Oryzias latipes: one gene and its partner. The protein of the gene in region 2 purifies or fractionates together with the protein of the main gene of each other region. This does not show direct contact. Links are inferred from orthologs where the notes say so. Each region holds a gene or a part of one and is shown on either strand. Other genes may lie near its edges.

What was found.
Region 1: the proteins of top2a (region 2) and znf451 purify together in Homo sapiens (affinity purification with mass spectrometry; 3 studies listed by BioGRID and IntAct, with this or other methods). This does not show direct contact. The link is inferred for Oryzias latipes from reciprocal best matches to the Homo sapiens genes TOP2A and ZNF451.

Annotation. Positions count from the first base shown.
Region 1 is NC_019873.2:24,421,853-24,426,108, reverse strand, and holds the start of znf451 (E3 SUMO-protein ligase ZNF451), read right to left. Parts: upstream 2,841-4,256; 5' UTR 2,751-2,840; coding exon 2,738-2,750; intron 2,274-2,737; exon of another isoform or gene 2,149-2,273; intron 1,516-2,148; coding exon 1,454-1,515; intron 975-1,453; coding exon 891-974; intron 789-890; coding exon 675-788; intron 402-674; coding exon 290-401; intron 183-289; coding exon 32-182; intron 1-31. Other genes in the region: dst (dystonin), read left to right, coding at 3,051-3,237, 3,441-3,472. UniProt on the Homo sapiens protein: E3 SUMO-protein ligase; has a preference for SUMO2 and SUMO3 and facilitates UBE2I/UBC9-mediated sumoylation of target proteins. Plays a role in protein SUMO2 modification in response to stress caused by DNA damage and by proteasome inhibitors (in vitro).
Region 2 is NC_019877.2:4,658,282-4,661,116, forward strand, and holds part of top2a (DNA topoisomerase 2-alpha), read right to left. Parts: intron 2,810-2,835; coding exon 2,603-2,809; intron 2,526-2,602; coding exon 2,408-2,525; intron 1-2,407. UniProt on the Homo sapiens protein: Key decatenating enzyme that alters DNA topology by binding to two double-stranded DNA molecules, generating a double-stranded break in one of the strands, passing the intact strand through the broken strand, and religating the broken strand.

The DNA of each region.
Region 1 (4,256 bases), on a different chromosome or scaffold from region 2:
ATCAACAGCAGCACAAGCACAACTCGTTGACCTTTTTAAATGTCCGTCAAGCAGCGAAGCGTTGTCATAGACACGCCCACAGTTGATCACAGGACACGTCTGTCTTGTCAAGCTGTTCTTTGGGAAGGAAGAGGAGGGGGGTCTTCTACCTGAACCAGCACTGATCAGCCCGGGTTTAACACCTGAAGGAACAGACACATCTTTCAGAAACCATGAATCTGTCATCTACAAGACTGATTTATCTTTAAATTTAATTTACACTAAAGAAAGACAAAAACATAGATGTCACCTGGCATTTTCAGCCACATTTCCACGCAGCGCCTTGCGTCTTGATTAACTCGGTTGGCAGAACTCACAGCCAGCTCCTGCTGTCCGTGAGCTTTTTGTAAAATCTGCTTCTCCTAAAAGAAGAAAAAACAAAGACCTTCAGGAAATGAAGCCCATGGTAATTTCAACACTTTGATATTGAAATGACTAAACCTGTTCATTCTAAAAAGTCTGGTTTCACACCACCAGGGGGCTCTGTTGCAAACATAACCAGATTCACTGTTTCTAGGTGAACTAATGTGTAGAAAAATTACAAACAGAAATGTGTTTTGCTGTTGACCAAATTTTGCTTTCAAGAAATTAAGCTTAAATAAACAAGAAAGAGAAAAGATAATAACGTTCAATACCTTGAATGCTCTACATTTCTTTGCTCTCTCCTTTTTCTCCAAAGCCACCTGGTGAGCCAGTCTGTCCAGCGTAGATGTGACGTGCGCTTTGTGCTGGCTAATTTTGTCCTCAGTCTATCAATGAAAGAAAAGAAAAAAAGAGGATTTTGTAAAAGAATGAAGATCCTTGTGAAAGATACTTCTTTTATGAAGCAGACAATATGTTTAATCACAAACCAAGACTGGCAGTGATGAACATCCCTCTTCATCACTATCGCTCAACAGATCAATGCAATCTAATACTGGTCTAAGAGGCCCCTCCTGAAGGACATAAAAAGCAATGCATCAGACTGTATTCAAACATCATAGTCCAGATTATGATTAGTTTGAATTCTGAGCATGGATAAAGCATTAAAGTACTATTGAGATCCAACCTTTGCAACCTAAAGCCAGGAGGTAACGGAACTTCATACTTTAGTATTAAAATAAAAGGTTTTTATTAGCATACAGAGACATCTTTCTATCATTGATATCTCAAATGGGTAAAAATTTGTTGCTGCATCATACAGTTTATGATCAATTTAGTCGAAATGCATTGAAATGTAGTGCGATGTATCATTATCAGGGCCATCACACTCCAAATTCCAAGTAGCCAATAAGTTTTTTCCATTTCTGCAAACATTTATTTATTTATTTATTTTACTTTTAAATTTAGTCGCTTGAATTGGAAACACAAATAATTAAAACTTTATTGTTATTGTCTGTTATGTAAACTAGAAATGTGTGTAAATGTCACTTACTGAGACAAACTCCACTTCTTCCACCTCATCTTCCTGTGCTTGATTTGGAGAAGCCATTGTTTCTGGGGGAAAAAAGAAAAACATGATGCACCTGGAATCTGCAGCTAACTTTAAACATGCATATTCAATATAAATGCTAAGTTTGAATGACGCAGCAAACATTAAATTGCAGCCCACAAGTTTAAAGAGAAGCGATATATTTGTCTCCATGAAGCCATACAATGTTTTAATAAAGGCTATCATTTAGAAAGGTATTGCAGTACACATTTAAACCAGTGGTGGCATTATTGGGTTAAGAGCTGCCTCATGGAAGACAGAAGAAGAACGAAAGCGCCAAAATGTTGCATTCAAGGACTGGATTTCCCATGTGTAAAATTAATTTTCAGACACTGTTTGTCGACTGTATCGTTGCAATTTTGCACGAAAATTACGTAAAGGTTAAATTATCATTAGGCCAGTCAACCTAGCTCAAGGTTCCGTCGAAGATTAAACACAGGCTGAATAATAAGTTTATTAGAAACTTTAAAAAACACAAAACAGCAAGCTAATAGCCCGCCATGCATGTCGATCACCACTAAGCTAACATTGGTTTAGCTGTCAGATGTTTGTTTCACTTCAGTTGAGTGGTATGCAATCGACACACCAGAAACTACGACAAGTGAAAGCTTAAATAAAAAATAAAACAATTTAATCACTTTTCTTTTTTTTTTTACCAACTCCTCTTCTTGCTGACTTCTCTTGCCGTCGTTGGGTCAAGCTTTCTTCAACGTCCCAAATGTTAGTGAATGCAGCAGCTAGTCTGGTCTACTACGTCACGGGAGAAGACGCGCTTGTTTTGTACGTGCTTTGGCCAGACGGGCGGGGTTCCTTTACATTTTCCGACTGAAACGAATATCAGAGCACCCCACCCCCCGTGTCCTAGCTTTTACGGACGGAATGATTAACGCATGATCTATTTATGACCCCGTTGTTGGAGTTAATGTTCATTAAACGGTAAAATAAATGAGATAGTTGTTCTTTCTTCGAGTTTTTGGAATTGATTGGTACGTTTTGCAAGCATTGTATTTATTTTTAATTTTTCTATAGTATTGTTGAACAATTTGAATGATTTTCACAAATCTGACTATTTTTTGTCCCCATTTCTTACTTGAAATATAAAAATGATTTCCTTTTATAAAAACAATAAAGACATCTTTTTTAAATAAATAAAAATCACATCTCCCACTAAGCACATTAGTGAGGTGGGGGCTGTAAAACCATTAGTAATTGCAGATCTAGACGCACCTCCTGCAGCCATTTCTTTCCTATTGCAGGGAAGAGAGACCGGGCAGCAGATTACTGCGATGCAGGCTGGGATAAATCTGCTGACTCTCCTTTGCCCTCGGTGAAATAAATAAATAAATAAGGGAACGTGCGTCTGTGCTGAGTCATGCATTGTACCTCACAATAGTGCTATCAGTGGTCTGGGTTGTCCTTTTTGACTCTGGACGCTCCACGTCTTTGGCTGTGTGATGCTTCAAGTGTGTCAGCGAGCCTCTTCATCCTCATCTGGAGCTCTAAGTGGTGCAGCAGAGGATCTGTTCCATATCTACACCCTATGATGATCGCTGCGGCGTTTTTGGTGCTGCTCAGGCCGTACAGTATCCAGTATGTGCTGCTCTTGCTGCTGCTTTTAATTGGGACTATTGCGACTATTTTGTTTTTCTGCTGCTGGCATCGGAGGCTTCGCGATGGGAAGCATCCAATAAAATCGGTTCTTTCCGGCGGGCGCTCCAGGAGTCGCGGTGAGTCGTGGCGCAGGCCAGCCGCTTCTCCTGCGTTTCCCTCTGATTTAAATTGACTGACAGCCCATTTAAATGCTATTTGACATCTGCAGCTTGAGGCTGCCAAATGAATAAATCATGATTGTGTTTGAAGACACGATATTTCATGGTTCAAAATGTCATTATGTTTAATCCCAGTTTAACATATGCTGTCTCTCCTATAGTTGGTCTGAGAACGCATCATTTTCGATCAGAGGTAGGGGGAACTTATTGTCATTGCTTTCAGGTGTCATTATTGCCATGTTTTGATTCCTTTTAACCCTTAACTATTCTTGACTTTAACTTAAGAATGCATTTCTATTTTTGGGTACTGTGTGTGCGCAGTGCGCATATGTTATTAAAAAGTAATGTAGGGGATTTAGCTTTTTTCCCCAAGATAGTTTTAGCCATAAAATTGTAAGAAAAACCCTTTAGATTTATTGTTAAGTATTTCTGCTCATCACAGTGATTGTCGTTTCGATCACTGCTGACATTATTTTAGCTGTTTCCGTTTGACGCAACTCGATTTCAAAATAAAACACGGAACATTTAAAATATCCAGTCTGTGTAAGACCATGCCAAAAGCATGAACAATTCACTATACTAGTAACTAAAATAAACTATAAAGCATGATAGAGCCCTGTGACAGGTCTTTTAGGGAGGTTTTATATTTTAATCTAAAACCTTTAAATAAACGTCATCAATTATTTACTGAAAGAGTCCTGTAGTTGAGATGGCTTGCCGGTTCTTTTATGTCACTTGAATGAGAAAGAGGATGCTCTGAAATGATTTTAGTTGTTGTCGTTTACCATGATTTAAATTAGCTGACTCTGTTTTGTTACCCATAATATTCAAACTTTGACTTTGCAATGCTGCAGTGACAGAGATTTAAAATTTTATTGGTGAACTTTGTAATAAGACTGTGAAGACTTTGTACTTTATATCTTTCTGCAAACAACCCTAAAGTCTTCAAACAAATATAAGATAATTTGGAATTTGGA
Region 2 (2,835 bases):
TGAAAATGTTAGTCGACATGATTTTTTGTTAAAACGCATCAAGAAAACCCATTCACTCTGTTCATTAGTAGTTGAGGTGGCCTCCATCCATTCATTCAATCCCTGCAAAGATTTCAAACCTCGTTTTTAAACGTTCAAGACTTTTGATCAGGTTGGAAGTTGTTTTAACTTCTCTTTGCTCTGCATGTCTATAAGCTTTTCTCAAAGCTTCTTTTGTTTCATTTAGATCTAGGATCTATAATCAAGAAAGTTATTATTAAGATGACTAAATGCTTTGTCTTCATAATCTTGACATAAACTTGATTTGAGACTCAAAGAACTTCAAATTGCACTGATTCAGTGTGAAGGATGTTATTTTAAAGGTTAATATAGTTGGACTGGCATTCATTGTCATGATTTTAGAAATCAAAATGTAGATTTATGTTGTAAAAATAAGTGATGGTTTTGGATTTTATGAGATTATCAAGAAATACCAACTTTGTATTCTTTTTTTTGTTGACATTTTGTTCTAAAATGAGTCATTTCCGCTAAATTTTGCATCCAAAGAATCAAGATTTCATGACTTTTTCCAAAACTTTAGAGAAGATGTCGCTTCTTAGAAACTTTTCAGGTTTTCTTGACCGTATGAACCCTGTATCTAAAAATTAGCTTCTTTTTTCATTTTTGAACACTCATCTCTAGATTGCGTTACCCTTTATGAATATTAAATAGGATTTTCTTATTTTTAGCCTACCGTACCTCTTTTTGCAGTGGAAAAATAAAAATAATCTGAGTAATGATTCCTTTGTCTGACAAACAAGCAGAAAAGCTATTTAGTCCTGGCAAATACTTTTTTGTGCTTATCTAAATGTGAGCGTAGGATTATAGCGGTCAGGAAAGTTTTTGGGCACACGGTGACAATTCCAAATGTTCTCCTGAACATCTGTGCCAAGTAGAACTTTTCCAATAGATCTAAAATGTTATTTTATTAAAAATATTTGTTATTTTATTTTCAGGGAGTGAAATAGGTTTTTAAAGCAGATTTTGTCATCGACTCAAAAAAGCGCTTTCATAAAAATATTGCACAATGAATAAAAAACAAACTTTACTCAAAAAATCTGATTTTGGTTTATAATGGCGGCTCAGCTGCCGAAAACTGGCGCCAACTTTCCACCAGGGCGTTTATGGGGTTCAGCGTTTTGTCAGGGGACGCTTCGACACATGGCAAAACAGGAATCGAACCTGCAATATTCCGGTCAGGGGTCGACCGCCCTACCACGGCCACCCCTACTTCATGCAAGTTCATACTGTCATGGTGCTTTTAGTGCTTGTAAAATTAGTTTGCTGATTATAGTAATATGCATTCTCTGCAAATGGACAGCATGATTTCTTTTTCTTTTTTGGAGTTGCCATCAGCTTAAAAAACATGTTTACATTTCATTTGAACATTTGGCAGAACAGAAAGAAAGTCACGGTTTAATCGGAACTCGCTTGGTTCTTATTCTGTGCAGTCCTGAACCTGTGCAGCTCGCAGATCCCGTTCGCTCAGATTTTTCCTTTTGTCACCAAAACCCTCATCTCACCTGCAACATTTTACAAAAATGCAGGTCACCGGGGGGAACAACACCTTTTCCCAGTAATATAAATCATCCATTCATGAAGGCTGACTAGGAAAAGTGGCAGTATTTATATGAAATCATAAGGAACATGAAGTCATAGAATTCAATAATGGCTAAACTGAACTAAACAGACTATGCTAAAGTGGGCATCCCTGCCCTTTGACCCTCCTTCTGGGTAAGGAAAAACTGATTCTGCAAAAAAAAGTAAAAAAAATAAAAAGGCGTAACATCAGGGATGTCCACATGAAGGAGTGATCCTCCGTGTGCCAACAGTGGCATGCATGCCCCATGTTATTGAGTTTAATCACATTTCTGTGGTGAAAGTGCTTCCTCATAACTGTGTGACTCAGGCCACTAAGTTCCAGTTACATCACAAAACCACAATGTTTGTCTAACACAGGTTACAGGTATCAGATATTGGAGCGGGGATAAGGGGGCCGGAGGCACCAACTGGCAGCCACGCCTCTGTCAGTCTGCCCCCGGGCAGCTGTGGCTACATCAGTAGTTACCATCAAGAATAAATGAGGAGTGAATGAATAATGGGCACATTGTCAGCGCTTTGAGAATCTAGAAAAGCGCAGATACATCCCATTATTAAAATAGATATTGTTAAAGGAAAAAAACTTTTGTTTCAGTTGTATTTTCCAGATAAAAGTTATAAATTTCAAAATATTTGCTTCGAAATTATATATAGAGAGCGTCTTACTACATGAGAATGAGAATAAGAGAAAAATGATGCTGTTTTGGTTTAAGTTTCCTGCTTTTTAATCAACCTTTTCTGACCAAAACAACTGTTTTTTTTTAAATACCTCTTTTAGTCTGGGTTTTGGTTTTCTTGCCCAGTCGTGCAGCCAGACCAGTTTCCTCGATCTGCTCCAGGTTCTCACATTCTTCGCCAAACTCCATCTTCACCACAACATCTTCACTCTGCATCGACAGAAGAGGAGAAACTGAAGTTTGGACTGCATTTCCCATCATTCTAAGCTATGTTAGCATCAGCTGACCTTGACTTTCTTTCCCCTCCGGCCTTCTCCTTTCTTCAGCTCAGCTTTTTTGTGCGCTTCGGCTTTCATGGTGCTGGTGACGCGGGGGATGACGCGGCGGCCTTGAGGAGTGGGCAACGTCTCCTGCTTCACCTTCATGGGTTTTTTGCCTTTGGCGGGACGCTTGGCGGGCGCAGAGGCGTCGTCCTTCTCCTTTTGCTCCAGGCGCTTTAAAAAAGAACCCAGTTTAAAGA